Sus scrofa: one gene and its partner. The protein of the gene in region 1 interacts with the protein of each later gene in a pairwise test. Links are inferred from orthologs where the notes say so. Each region holds a gene or a part of one and is shown in the gene's direction. Other genes may lie near its edges.

The links.
Region 2: the proteins of RAB3IL1 (region 1) and RAB11A interact in a two-hybrid assay, tested with the Homo sapiens proteins (2 studies listed by BioGRID and IntAct). The two-hybrid records come from large-scale screens. The link is inferred for Sus scrofa from reciprocal best matches to the Homo sapiens genes RAB3IL1 and RAB11A.

Annotation. Positions count from the first base shown.
Region 1 is NC_010444.4:9,592,682-9,600,071, forward strand, and holds the end of RAB3IL1 (guanine nucleotide exchange factor for Rab-3A), read left to right. Parts: coding exon 1-45; intron 46-142; coding exon 143-220; intron 221-881; coding exon 882-1,100; intron 1,101-2,221; coding exon 2,222-2,350; intron 2,351-2,481; coding exon 2,482-2,594; intron 2,595-2,870; coding exon 2,871-2,894; intron 2,895-3,925; coding exon 3,926-4,025; intron 4,026-5,518; coding exon 5,519-5,585; intron 5,586-6,237; coding exon 6,238-6,320; 3' UTR 6,321-7,307; downstream 7,308-7,390. UniProt on the Homo sapiens protein: Guanine nucleotide exchange factor (GEF) which may activate RAB3A, a GTPase that regulates synaptic vesicle exocytosis. Promotes the exchange of GDP to GTP, converting inactive GDP-bound Rab proteins into their active GTP-bound form.
Region 2 is NC_010443.5:163,861,932-163,869,744, forward strand, and holds part of RAB11A (ras-related protein Rab-11A), read left to right. Parts: intron 1-3,708; coding exon 3,709-3,904; intron 3,905-4,137; coding exon 4,138-4,331; intron 4,332-7,813. UniProt on the Homo sapiens protein: The small GTPases Rab are key regulators of intracellular membrane trafficking, from the formation of transport vesicles to their fusion with membranes.

The DNA of each region.
Region 1 (7,390 bases):
CAGCTGGAGCAGGAGCTGGAGGAGCTGACGGCCAGCTTATTCGAGGTGCGGGGGCCGAGGGCAGGCTGGGAAACTTGGGGCTGCGGGGTGTCCGTGGTCTCCTCCCCCCTCCCCACTCACAAAGAGCCCACTCTTTGCCCAGGAAGCCCACAAGATGGTGCGAGAAGCCAACATGAAGCAGGCGGCTTCAGAGAAGCAGCTGAAGGAGGCGCGAGGCAAGGTGAGGCCCTGGCCAGCCCTGACCTCCAGTCCCAGTCCCGACCCCTCAAGCGCTGGCCTTCGCTACCCAAGGCCAGCGCTTGCATGGCCTGGAGTGCATGGGGGTGGGGGGCAGCGGATGGGCAGATCGAGGCCAGAAGCAAGGGGCAGAGGTATCTGAGATGACCTCGGGGGTGGGAGCCCAGCTCCTTAGAACTCCGGTTGTGTCTCTCCTGCACCATAGAGACCTTTTTGGGGACTTTCTGGGGCCAGGAGGATCCTGCGACCCTTGTAATTTCTTTTCCTCCTTGCCATACCCCCCTTTCCAGAGCAGAAGCCTCAGTCTGGCTGTGTGAGCCTGGGCAAGTTGCCTTACCTCTCGGAGCCCATCTGCCCATCTGCAAAACGGGCAGGCTGGGCTGTTCCTGGTTTCTGGGGGTCCCTCAGCCACTGGCTTCCCTGGGGCGCCCTGGCTTCCCGGGCGACCTCAGCCAGGCCATGGCTCGTCTCCGAGCCTCAGTTTCCCTCTCAGCAAAATGGGTATCTCAACCCCCCCACCTCAAAGGCTGTTCCAAGGGTAACAAGTGGGGTTAGGTGCAGGGCGGGCTGCCCTGAGCTGGCATTGGCAGCTGGTGGCAGCACCAGCCTTGGTCTAACCTTGATGGCTGTCTCGTCCCGGCCAGATCGACATGCTGCAGGCAGAGGTGACAGCCTTGAAGACACTGGTCATCACGTCCACACCAGCCTCTCCCAACCGCGAGCTCCACCCGCAGCTGCTCAGCTCCACCAAGGCTGGACCCCGCAAGGGTCACTTGCGCCATAAGAGCACCAGCAGCGCCCTCTGCCCCGCCGTGTGCCCGGCTGCAGGACACGCCCTCACCCCCGACAAGGAAGGCAAAGAGGTGAGGGACAGCGGGAACTATAAAAGGAGACAGTGCCACTGTCAGCCAGGCAGCAGTGCCCGCTGGGGACCCGGCTTGGCCCCCGCTGTGTGACCAGGAGCCTGTCCTACCCTCCCTGGGCCTCTGTGTCCTCTGGCTGTGACAAGCACTGAGCAGGTTCCTTGTCATATGAGATGCTTGGCCCTCAGGAGGGTCCATGGGGTACCTGGTCCAGGCAGGACAGTGGGCTGTGATGCCCTTGGCCATGGGTTCTTGAGCAAGAAAAGTCCCCTGTTGGCACATCAGTCTCCTCCTATGAGCGGGGCCTCCTGAGACATGGGTGCTGCACCCAGTGAACGCCCATGGGGGCTGTGATGGGATTCAGCTTCCTGGGTCTCTTCTGAGCTCTAAGCTTCCGACTGGGACACTAACGTCACCTTCCTCTGTCTGTCTCTGTGCACCTGTCTGTCTGTCTGCCCTGCCGGCCCAGCCCGGGCTGCCCCCACTTCTCTCCCTGCTCCTCTGCGTGGTCCCCAGCAAGGCGGTCCACCTCACCTACGAGCCGGCCTGGCAGCTCCCGCCTGGGGAGCTGCCCGTGGGCCCCACCTCTGCTACCTCTCTCTCCTTTTCCCGACAGGTAATGGCTCCAGAGAGGGGCCGCCCCCTCCGCCCCCTCCCAGCCTCTCGCTCTGCATGTGCCCAGTGGCGGCCACTGCGTCGCCTCCCAGAGTGGCCTGTGTGTGTTCCCTTCTGTGTGCCCGTCGCTGCGTGTACCTGTGGGTCCCTGCGTGCATCTGTGGGTCCCTCCAGTGTCACTCTTCAACTCCCTGTCCTCAAGGAGGCAGTGAGGGGGCTTCAGGAGGAGGCCCCGGGGCCCACGTCTGTCATCTCTAGAGCCAAGAAACTGAAAAACGCACCCAGAAGTGAAACTTTTTGAGTTCTAAATTCTTTGGTGTAAAGGGAAGAGAAAGTTCCTTTTTGGGACGTGACTCTCCCTGCATGGCCACAGGGGACAGGCCTGCTGGCCTGCTGGGGCCTGCCCCGCAGCCTCCCTGGCTCCCCACTCCTTGGGCTCTCTGCCTGTCTCTGCCGTGCTGGCCCCCAGCACCCTGACCTCTCCGCCCGGCTCACCCTCTCCCCAGGTGGATGCCACCCTGTTTGCAGAGTTCCAGGCTTGGAGGGAATCACCCACCCTGGACAAGACCTGCCCGTTCCTGGAACGGGTGTACCGGGAGGACGTGGGCCCCTGCTTGGACTTCACCATGCAGGAGGTGAGGAGGGCAGAGGGCGGCCAGAAGGTCGGAGGGGATGGGGGAGGCAAGGAGGGGGGGTCCCAGCCCCTCAGCCCCTCAGCCGGAGGCCAGCCCCTCACCGCCCCACCCGCCGCCCTGCTCTGCCGCAGCTCTCGGCCCTGGTCCGGGCTGCTGTGGAGGACAACACGCTCACCATCGAGCCCGTGGCTTCGCAGACACTGCCCGCGGTGAAGGTGGCCGCCGTCGAGTGTGGCCGAGCCAAGTAAGCTTAGCGCCCTGCACCCTTCCTGCCCCCTGGGAAAGCCTTGGGTTCCGCCAAGGGGTGGCCAGGGAGCAATGAACCTCAGGCCTGCCTGCTGGGTCCTGGAATGGGACCCGAGGGTGGGAGAGGCCCTTGACCAGAGAGGGACAGTGGCTGCCCCCATGCAGGGCAAGGAGGCATCCTGGGCAGAAACTGCTGCCTTTAGTCGTGCAGCAGGGGTCTCCCTGCTCCTGGCTGGCCTGACTTACATCCTTCTCCCACTCCTCTCTCCCACAGTGGGTTCCGGGCCCCGATTGACACGTAAGTGATGTCAGTTATTGGTTCCACCTCTGGCGCTGGCATCTTGTCCTCTTTCTGCTTCTGCTGCTGGCACTGAGCAAGGCTAGAGGCAGAGCAAACCTGCCTGCATGGAGCAAGGGTAGGGACTAGGGCTTGTGGCCCCATGGAGGGAGCCTTGTCACAAGGGGACATTTGAGCCGGGTTTTGAAGGACGAGTAGAAGTTTGCCAAGCAGGGAAGGGCCTTTCAGGCAGAGGCAAATGAATGAGTGAAAGTATGACAAGCAGTCTTAATGGAAACACTGCTGGATGGGTGAGCAGAGCGGTGGTGTGGGTGGGCACAGAGTTGGGGCTCAGGCCACAGAGGGTTTTGGAGCCAGTGTGTGTAAAGGGCCTCAAATGCGGTTTGGGCTTTAACCCACTAGGGTGGCACTTCGAAAATCATTGATAAATAAATATTCCCTGAAAAGAGGGTCCCCTGGTCGAATCAAGGAGTCACAGTGAACCTAGAGGCAGCAAAGGCTCTGATAAGTCCTGCAGCCAAGGAGCCCTATTTAACCTAATTTTATTTGGGAATCTCCGTAACTATTTCCTAGGCAGTAGGAAAGCAGCATGGAAAGATAATGGGCTAGATGTGAGTTTTTGGAGGAGCCCTTGGCTATAATATGGAGAAGAAGGGTAGAGACTCCTGCTTAGATGGGGGAAGGGGGGACCTGGTCTGAGAGGGTCCATTTTTAGGGGCTATAGAGGGTGGAGCTTTGGTACACCTGGCATGGGGTTGGCCAAGCTCCTATCCAACGTGAGTGAAGTGAAAGGTTTAGAATGGGATCCAGCTTGGCTTAAAGGCCTCTCCCAGGGACTTCTGGGACTTCCTCCTCCTTGGTCTGGCTCCAGGCTTTTGGGGAAGCTGGGACCAGGGGAGAGGATGCCAGCCCCCACGGTGAGGTCTTTTTGCCCCCCCACCCCAGCCTCCTTCTGGCTGCTGCATCTTCCCTGCATGAGCCGGGTGGGCGAGCCCCAGCCAGCCCCTACAGCCCCCTCTGCTTTCCCCTAGTACATGTGCCCTGAGTGGGCTGGTCTGTGCCTGTCGCCACCGAATCCGGCTTGGGGACTCCGAGAGCCACTACTACATCTCGCCATCCTCCCGGGCCAGGGTGAGTCATCCAGTAGCAGTGTTACCGGGTTCCTAGGGCTGCTGGCCTGGGACTCTGGGCCCCAGGCCTGAGAGCACAGCCTCGATCTATAGAGAGACAGGCCCAGAGAGGGGCAGAGAGTGACTTGGGCCACAGCCCAGCCAGGTGTATTCATCTGATCACTATTGAGGTATAACAAATTATCATAACCTTAGTGGCACCCTTTATCTCCCGTCTCCCTGGGTCGGGAGTCTTGGCATAACTCAGATGGGTCCTCTGCTCAGGGTCTCCCGGGCTGCTGTCAGGGTGTCAGGGGCTGCATCCTTTCTGGAGATCAGAGTCTGCCTCGGAGCTCACCTGCCTGTTGGCAGAAGTTGGTTCCTTGCGGTTGAAGGACTGAGGTAGCCACTTTCTTGCTTGTTGAAAAGTAATCACGGGAGTGACAGCCATCACCTCTGTCATTTGATGTAACCTAATCAAGGGAGTGACACTAGTGTTCAGGTGAACCCCAACCTGAGGCAAGAGGGGTTCTATACCCCAGAGGCCAGTCAGTCGTTGGCTGAGGTCTGCAGGGGGAGGGGGTGCAGGGGGGCACCTATGAGCCATTAGCTGCCAACACTCTGCCATGGGGAGATGGGGCCCCAGCCTGGGGAAGAGGCTTGGGCAGAGCACCAAAGCACTGGTATCCTCAGTGCCCTGCAAAGGACCTGGCGCAGAGCAGGCCTCAGGCCAGGCTGGGGACTTCAGGCATGAGGGTTCAGGACAGCCAGAAGAGTAGCTTCTGATCCCCTCATCTTTCCTGGCATTACAAGTGACACCTGATGAGTCCTGGCTGGCCCGGCCTCCAGCATCCAGAGCAAGCCGCCCTTTGGGGGAGTGTGGATTCCAGGCACTCTGCCGGGTTTCACTTTCCAGCTCCGCTGCTTATTAGCTCCATGACCTCCTGCAGTTGTCAGGTCGTTCTTGGAGCCTCTGTTCTCCCCACGTGTAGAATGGGAATGATTAGGCATGTCTGCCTCATCTGATACATGTACTTAATTATCATATGCTTAGTTAGTTAGCACTACCTTTTCATTTTTTTTCTTAGGGCCACCCCCGTGGCATATGGAGGGTCCCAGGCTAGGGGTCGAATCGGAGCTACAGCTGCTGGCTTACACCACAGCCACAGCAACGCCGGATCCTTAACCCACTGTGCGAGGCCAGGGATGAACCCACAACCTCATGGTTCCTAGTTAGATTCGTTTCCATTGCGCCACGATGGGAACTCCTAGCTTTTTTTTTTTTTTTTTTTTTAATGTCACCTGGGGGTAAGGAAAGGATTTTGTAATTGATGCTTCAATTATGGTGTTTAATTAGGAGTAGTAATATTGCTGCTATTAATATAACTTTAGAGCCCAGCGTTATCTGACTTAGATGGGACGCGGGGCTTCCTGGGCTGCTCTCCCATCTGCCCTGACCTCTTTTTGGGCGGGGAGTGGAGAGCCGAGGTCACGCTCTGCCTTCTCTGTCCGCAGATCACAGCCGTGTGCAACTTCTTCACCTACATCCGCTACATTCAGCAAGGCCTGGTGCGCCAGGACGGTGAGCGCCCCCTGGTGGCCATCGGGGGTGGCGCGCGGGGGGGCGGGGCGGGGCGGGGCCAACCCCCGGGCTTGGCCGCCCACACCTGGACCCAGTTACTTTTTCCTGCTCAGAAACCTCAGCCTGGGGGCCCGTGGAGCCAGCGTTCTTGTTTCTGGCATTCAAGACCTGACCTGACGGGGCCTATCCTGTAAATCTCCCCCCCCTCTCAGAGTGGCCTCCAGGTGGCCTCTGTCCACCCATTGTCCTTCTGTCCCCATTATGCCAGGCCATGGAATGGGCTCTGAGGGCCCTGGACTGACTGCTGTGCCCTGCCCTCTCTGCTCAGGGTCACTGGAGAGCCCAGGGAGATGGGGTGGGAGAGGATTTGCAGCCTGTCAAGTGTGTGGCACTGTGTACATGCATGTCCGTGACAGGCTGTGGAGGTGACTGTCACCTCCGACCCTTCCAGGTGTTCAGCCCTCAGCAGTTTGCAAGGCCTCAGTGGAACCTCAAAGAGGTCCAGCCACTCGCTGAGGTCATCTGTCCTGGGGGACTGGGGAGCCCTAGGGTGCCCAGTTAGCTGCCCTACCCAAAGCTGGGGGAGGGGCCAGGCCATCTGCTTGAAGTGACCCTGAGTGGTCACCGAGCTGTCCACCCTCTCTGCCTGCAGCGGAGCCCATGTTCTGGGAGATCACGAGGCTGCGGAAGGAGATGTCGCTGGCCAAGCTCGGTTTCTTCCCCCAGGAGGCCTAGGGCCCGGCCCAGGCCTGGAGGGGGGCTCTGAGCTGAAGCCAATGCCCGCGCCAGGACAGACAAACAGATGGGGTCCTGGAGCCGGCCCTGAGCCAGAAGCTGAACAGAGGGACAAATGGCCAGGCCTTGGAGGCAGACCTGAGCCGGCACCAAACGTCCAGCCCAGGACAAGACCTCGAAAGGTGACCTTCTCTCTTCCCTCGTGGCACTACCAGCCACCAGGAGACTTTTAAGAAAGCACCAAAGACCAAAGGGCTTGGAGCCGTGCAAAGAGGCTCAGCCCTTGGAAGGGGACCCTTAGGGCAGTCAGCACCCCCTTGCCGGTCCCTGGAGCGGCTGCCTGCCGGTGCCTCATTGGCTGGATCTCCAGGGTACCCCCTCCACCCCGCCCCCCGGCCAGTTTCCAAGCCCTGGGTACCAGCTCCCCCTGGTGGCCATACTTCAGCCCATTCCCAGGTGGCTTTTCCATCTGAAAGACCCAGAGAGCGTGTGGCTGTCCCAGGTGCCCATGGGGCAGCAGAGCCAGGAGAGGCTGGCATGGCCTCCCCGGTGTTTTCCATTCCATCCTGTATGTGCCTGAGAAAGGCCCCCGAACGTTCTTAAGATGTATCAGGGTCCCAGCCCTCTCTCTTGACCTCCTCCGCCCCACCAGCTGAGCCTTATGCTGCAGGGAGCCCTGCCCCCACCACCGCTGGAAGGATCAGGGGCACTTTTCTCCCAGAGTAAAACCCAGACGGGCCTCGGGATGCCCAGGCCTGTTTGCAGCTGTAGACAGCCATTCAGACAACCGGGGGCCGAGCTCCCCCAGCCCTGCACGCAGGACTGGGGCGTGGCGGGCAGGACCTGGGCCCCTCCGCACCCCTCAGTCTGCTCGGGACCCGGGTCCAACCTGGACACATCCCTCACCACGGCCGATTTCCTCCTCTGAATGGAATGTAACACGATCTCTATTTAATAAAGGACGGCTTTGTTGGTAGAGGCTGGGCAGCCACGCGACGCCTTCACTCCTGCGCCCTGGGGCTCCAGCCAAGGCTTGGGCATCTGAAGGAATGAAACGAAATCCTTTCCTT
Region 2 (7,813 bases), on another chromosome or scaffold:
TGTTATTTAATGCTTACACACACTCACTCACATATGTATATATGTATGTGTTATATATGTCATATAGATGGCTATAGTTATAAAATGTTTAAAGTGGAAGTACTATTAAGACACTAATTATGGAAAATATAGGAAAGTCATTTGAAAATTCCTTTCTTGAACTATAGGATGTAGTTATATGATTTGTCACATTTTAAAACAGCAGTTAAATATTGTAATCTTAATGAGAAACTGTTTTGATTAGAAATTGAGTTTGAGTCCATGAACTTGAGGATTTTTAAAAATTTTTTTTATTTTTTGTCTTTTTTTTTTCTAGGGCCTCTCCTGTGGCATATGGAGGTTCCCAGGCTAGGTGTCTAATCAGAGCTGTAGCTGCTGGCCTATGCCGGAGCCACAGCAACGTGGGATCTGAGCCGTGTCTGAGACCCACACCACAGCTCATGGCAATGCTGGGTCCCTAACCCACTAAGTGAGGCCAAGGATTGAACTGGCAACCTCATGGTTCCTAGTCGGATTCATTAGCCACTGAGCCACAATGGGAACTCCGAGGATTTTTTTTTTTTTAATCATAGCCAGTAAATTATCTTATGTTTTGTAGATAATTTAATCTATTCTGGTGTATATATATATATATATATATATTTTTTTTTTTGTCTTTTTGCCATTTCTTGGGGTGCTCCTGCGGCATATGGACGTTCCCAGGCTAGGGGTCTAATTGGAGCTGTATCTGCCAGCCTATGCCAGAGCCACAGCAACTCGGGATCCGAGCCACGTCTGTAACCTACACCACAGCTCACGGCAACGCCAGATCATTAATCCACTGAGCAAGGGCAGGGATTGAACCTGCAACCTCATGGTTCCTGGTCGGATCATTAACCACTGCGCCACGACGGGAACTCCTACTCTAGTATTTTTTTTTAAGGATCCTAAATATAATCCTTCTTTTGTGGTTTCTCATTTGGTAACTGAATAGAAGCAGCTTTCCTTATCTTGTCATTTCTCAGCATTATCTTGACAGCACTATTCTTAACCAATATCTTTTGTTGTCATTTAAGATATAATCCTTTAATGAGTTGCTAGTCATAATTCTGGCAACCTTGTCCAGGTCTAGTTGAGATAACTATTTTATACTGTATAAAGTATACATGCGTCTTTATTTATATTACTTATTTTTTCAGATAAGAGTGCTCGTTTTTATTTTAAAATGAATTGGTTACATCAAGGGAAAAAAATGACCTATCCTTAACAATGGCATGAAGTTTTGAGGATGGGAGTTCCTGTTGTGGCTCAGTGGATTAAGAACCTGACTAGTATTCATGAGGATGTGGATTCGATCCCTGGCCTTGCTCAGTGGCTTAAGGATCTGTGTTACTGTGAGCTGTGATGTAGGCCGGCAGCTGCAGCTCCCATTTGACCCCTAGCCTGGGGAATCTTCCACATGCCACAAGTACTAAAAAGCCCTAACCCCCCCCTCCCCCCAAAAGATTTGAGGATGGGGAGATAATGAATGTAATCATTAGTTAAAATGATCAAAAGTCAAGAAAACAAAACTTCGAGAGTATTAAAGTTTTTGTGGGATGGAGAAAGTGTTCTTTGATTTATTTATTTTATTTTCCAAAGGCATTGTCATTCTAGATATGTTGCCCTTTGGCTTTAAACTAAATGACTGGCTTCTAAATCGATATATCTGATTGATATGTCTGAGTGCCTATGGAGTAGAAACATTAAACATTTTGGTTTTCCCCATCTTTCCTATTCATTCGTCACCTAGGGCTTTTATACCTCAGTGCTGGTTTGGGGCCAGAAAAGATTCAAAGATTTCCTCAGCAAGACATCCAGCCTTTTGCACTAAGAGGCAGTAGTGAATATACTCTACTAATAGGGTAGACTTTCTTACTGAAACTGAGATTTCACCTCACATTTAGAATAGTGGACCTTGGAAACTAACATGTCAACCAACCATCCTGTAAAATTGGAAATGTGTTATTTTTATGTTACTTTCATGACCATAGCATCTTCTTCCCTGGCATCCAATTAAAGGAAAGTATTTACTATTATCTCTGTGTGCAACAGTGCCTTTGACACCTCTAATTGACTCTGTAATGAAAAATAACAGTACATTTTGCGGCGTTGAGTTACTGCGCCTGGATGATTTCTTGCTGAATCAGCTGATAGAGGAAGCCAGAAAGATAAGCATTTGATAATGTACTGTCTTCTAGACTGTCCAGAGGCCAGCATCTGTCTGCTTTCATGGCAAGGAAGGAATGCATAAGGGACTGTCTGCCCTCTGACCTGAGTGCAGTGAGCTATCAGTTACTTCCCTCCCCAATCCCATCCCCCACCAAATCCTAAATCTTTAGTAAGGCGTGGTGTGTCATTCTTGCATGTTTGATTTTCTAGTCCTGTTTCCTGAACTAATTAGCTAGTAAAAACTAAGAAGAGGCATTAGTAGTCAACAGTGGGAATAAGTATAATATTTTCTAAAATGCAGATTAAAATTTTTACAAAGGGCAAAAAATGTTACCAAGCCCTGATTCTGTAAACCTGTGAACTCATTTGTTGTTTAAATTAAGGTAGATGAGTTCCTGTTGTGGCTCAGCGGTAACGAACCTGATTAGTATCCATGAAGACTTGGGTTCAATCCCTGGCCCTGCTCAGTGGGTTAAGGATCCAGCATTGCCGTGGGCTGTGATATAGGTCAGACAAAGCTCAGATCTGGTGTTACTGTGGTTGTGGTGTAGGCTGGCAGCTGCAGTTCTGATTTGACCCCTAGCCCGAGAACTTCCAAATATGTGAGTGTGGCCCTAAAAAAAAATTCAGGTAGAAATGGTTTAAAACAAGTTAACTGCCTATATCCCCATTGTTTACTCTAGGTGAAAAAGAATCCACTATATTTAGCTAGTAAATAAACTGTCTCCTATAGTAATCATAGGAAATAAATTCATCTAATCAAATCTTTTTCTTTAGATGGTTATGTTGTAAGTGAAAGTGTATATATCCTCCTTGTTTTGGCTTGACTCAGAATTATCAGTCAGCTCACTAGGGCCCTTGTTAAACTTATGGGTGTTTGTTTTTGAAGGGATCTCTAGTTTCCTGCCAATTTGGTACGTGTAACTGTGAAAGGGTCATTGTCTTTGATCTTGGTGGCAGAGTTTATAAAATTGATGCCTCATATGTTAAGTGCGTTTCATTTTGACTAAATATGAGTCCTGAGATCACACCCAGGCTTTGATGAAACTGAGTAGAACATATTCATTCTTTCTCTGCTCACCACTGCTATTATCCATTGTTGCTTTCATGTCTGATATTTTAATATCACAAATTGTTCATTTGGCTTAAGATTGACTTTTCAAGTTTATTACTTTCTAAGGTGGTAAGGTTGGTATAGCATTAATTGTTAATTAATGCATTAGCTGGTCATCAGTGCCTAGTAGACCTATGGTTAAAATCGGCATGTGCAAGACAGGATACTATTATCTGTACTAGGCAAATGATGTGTGGAAGTCACCATGCAGGTAGAAACAGGTTAAAAGGAATAACTAGGTTTTGTCAGTTGGTAACAGGTCAAGAACATGGGCTACTCGGCTCCTCCCCAACCCTCATCTCTATTTAAAAATCAGACTCCTTAAGCAAAAAGTTTTTTGCTTTTAAAACGTGGTATTCTGTGTTTGCCGCATTCATGTGACATTAAGTTCTTTGTCTTTCCAGTTGTCCTTATTGGAGATTCTGGTGTTGGAAAGAGTAATCTCCTGTCTCGATTTACTCGAAATGAGTTTAATCTTGAAAGCAAGAGCACCATTGGCGTAGAGTTTGCAACAAGAAGCATCCAGGTTGATGGGAAAACAATAAAGGCACAGATATGGGACACAGCAGGGCAAGAGCGATACCGAGCTATAACATCAGCGTAAGTTTCATAGTTTTTAACTTATGTGAAATACGCTGCCAAAGTGAATTAGCTCACTTTTGGTATTGGAAAAAGGTACTATTTTGTTTTCTTTTTAAGAATTCCACTATTACAATTTTAAAATTTGTAAGTATGTTTAAAAAATATGTAAATCTCTATACTTAGTCTTTTCTGGCATTCCCTTCTATCTTGTGGTTGTTTGCTAGTAGTTAAATACATGTTTCTGTTTTCAGATACTATCGTGGAGCTGTAGGTGCCTTATTGGTTTATGACATTGCTAAACATCTCACATATGAAAATGTGGAACGATGGCTGAAAGAACTGAGAGATCATGCTGATAGTAACATTGTTATCATGCTTGTGGGCAATAAGAGTGATTTGCGTCATCTCAGGGCAGTTCCTACAGATGAAGCAAGAGCTTTTGCAGGTTAGTGATATGAATTCCACATTACAGTGATTCTGTATTTCTCCCCCTGTGCTATGCAATAGGATCTTGTTGTTTATCCATTCTGTATGTAATTGCATCTTGCTAGTCTCAAACTTCCAATCCACCTGCCTTTGGCAACCTCAAGTCTGTTGTATGTGTTTGTGAGCCTGTTTCTGTTTCATAAATAAGTTAACTTGTGTTATATGTTATTTTTTTGGCTGCATCCATGGCATATGGAAGTTCCTGGACCAGGGATCAAACCCATACCATGGCAGTGACCTGAGCTGCTGCAGTGACAATGCTGGCTTCTTAACCCACTATGCCACAAGGGAACTCCCTCTGTCATATTTTAGATTCTACATATAAGTAATATCATATGGTATTTGTCTTTCTTTTTCTGATTTACCTCACTTAGTATGATTAGGTCTATCCATGTAGCTGTAAATGGTGTTATTTCATTCTTTTTGGCTGAGTAATATTCCATTTTATATGTGTATGTATGTGTACATACACACACATCACATCTTTATCCATTCATTTGTCAGTGGACATTTTGTTATTTCCATGTCTTGGCTGTTGTAAATGGTGCTATTGTGAACATAGAGGTGCATGTGTCTTCACATCACAGTTTTGTTTGAATATATGCCCAGGAGTGGGATTGCTGGATCATATGTAACTCTATTTTTAGATTTTTTTTCTTTTCCCTTTTTCTTTTTATGGCTGCACCTTTGGCATATGGAAGTTCCCGGGGTAGGGGTCAATTTGGAGCTGTAGGTGCAGGCCTGTGCCATAGCCATAGCAGTGCTGGATCCAAGCTGCTTCTGTGACCTACACCATGGCTCATGGCAACACCAGGTCCTTAACCCACTGAGTGGGGCCAGGGATCGAACCCATATCCTCATGGATATCAGATTCTTAACCTGCTGAGCTGCAAGGCTCATACTGTTCTCCATGATGATTGCACTAATTTACATTTCCATCAACAGTATAGGAAAGTTTGCTTTTCTCCACTCCCTCTCCAGCATTTGTTATTTGTAAATTTTAATGATGGCCATTCTGACCAGTGTGAGGTGGTACCTCAGTGTAATTTTGATTTGCATTTCTCTAATAATTAGAGATGTTGAGCATCTTTTCATGTGCCTATTGGCTATTTGTGTGTCTTCTTTGGAGAAATGTCAATTTAGGTCTTCTGTTCATTTTTTGATTGGGTTTTTTTGTTTGTTTTCTGTTATTGAGTTATATGAGTTACAAATTTGTATATTTTGGAAATGAATCCCTTATCAGTCACATCATTTTCAAATATTTTCTCCCATTCCATAGGCTGTCTTTGTTTTTCTTTTTTTCTTTTTTGGCCTGCAGTGTATCCGGGCCAGGGATCAGATCCCAGCTGCAGTTGTGACCCAAGCTGCAGCTGTGGCCAACATGGTCTCCTTTAACCCATTGTGCTGGGTGGGGGATTGAACCTGTGTCCTGGCACTCCAAGATGCTGCTGATTCTGTTGTGCCACAGTGGAAATTCCAGGTTGTCTTTTTGTTTATGGTTTCCTTTGCTGTGCAAAAGCTCTTAAGTCTAAGTCCCATTTGTTTATTTTTGCTTTTATGTATATTGCCTTGGTAGACTGACCTAAGAAAACATTGATATGGTTTATGTCAGAGAATGTTTGGCCTATGTTCTCTTCTAGGAGTTTTATGGTATCATGTCTTATATTTAAGCCTTTAAGCCATTTTGGGTTTATTTTTTGTGTATGGTGTGAGGGTATGTTCTAATGTCTTTGATTTGCATACAGCTGTCCAGCTCTCCCAGCATCACTTGCTGAAGAGACTGTCTTTTCCCCACTGTGTATTCTTACCTCCTTTGTTGAAGATTACGTGACCATACAGTTTATTTCTGGAATCTCTGTTCTAATGATCCATATGTCTGTTTTTGTGCCAATACCATGCTGTTTTGATTACTCTAGCTTTGTAGTATTGTCTGAGGTCTGGGAGATTTATGCCTCCTGCTTTGTTCTTTTTCCTTAGGATTGCTTGGCAATTCTGGGTCTTTTATGGTTCTTTGTAAATTCTAGGATTATTTGTTCTAGTTCTATGAAAAATGTCATGAGTAATTTAAAAGGGATTGCATTAAATCTGTAAATTGCTTTGGGCACTGTGGCTGTTTTAACAGTATTAATTCTTCCAGTCCAAGAGCATGGGATATTTTTCTATAAATCCTTTCAGTTTCCTTTATTAATGTTTTATTGCTCTCAGTGTACACCTCTTTTACCTTTTTGGTCAGGTTTATTCCTAAGTATTTTATTTTATTTTATTTATGTGATTTTAAAAGATATTTTAAAAAAAACCTTTCCCTTTCTAATATTTATTTGCTAGTTTAAAGAAATGTGTGTTATCTTGTATCCTGCTTCATTGCGGAATTGTCAGTTCTAGTAGTTTTCATGTGAAGTTTTTATTTTATTTTATTTTTTTTTGTCTTTTTGCTATTTCTTGGGCCGCTCCCACGGCATATGGAGGTTCCCAGGCTAGGGGTCCAATCGGAGATGCAGCCACCAGCCTACGCCAGAGCCACAGCAACGCGGGATCCGAGCCGCGTCTGCAACCTACACCACAGCTCACGGCAATGCCGGATCCTTAACCCACTGAGCAAGGGCAGGGACCGAACCCGCAACCTCATGGTTCCTAGTCGGATTCGCTAACCACTGCGCCACGACGGGAACTCCCTCATGTGAAGTTTTTAAAGTCTTCTATATATGGTATCTTGTCATCTGCAAAGAATGACAGTTTTACCTCGTCCTTTCCAATTTGAATATCCATTTCTTTTTTCTTGTTTGATTGGCATGGCTAGGACTTCGTGTACTATGTTGAATAGACATGGTGAGAGTGGGCATCCTTGTCTTGTTCCAATCTTTCAGCTTTTCATCATTGAATACTATGTCAGCTGTGGGTTTGTAGTAAGTAGCTTTTTACTATTTTTTTTTTTTTTGCATAATCCTTCTTAGTTTATTTTTTATTACTCAATGAGCTTATTACATTTATAGTTGTACAATGATCATCACAATCGAATTTTATAGGATTTTCCATCCCACCACCCCAGCACATCCCCCAACCCACCGAACTGTCTCCTTTGGAAACCAAAAGTTTTTCAAAGTCTGTGAGTCAGTATCTGTTCTGCAAAGAAGTTCATTCAGCTTTTATTATGTTGAGATATGTTCCTTCTGTACCCACTTCGTTAAGAGTTTTTAATCATGAATGGATATTGAATTGTATCAAATGCTTTTTCTGCATCTTTTGAGATGATCGTGTGTTTTTTGTCTTTTGTTGATGTGGTGGATCACATTGATTGGTTTGTATATGTTGAACTCTCTTTATGACCCTAGGATGAAGCCAACTTGGTTGTGGTGTGTGATGTTTTTTCTGTGTTGTTGGATTTGGTTTGCCAATGTTTTGTTGAGAAATTGTGCATCTATACTCATCAAAGATACTGGTCTG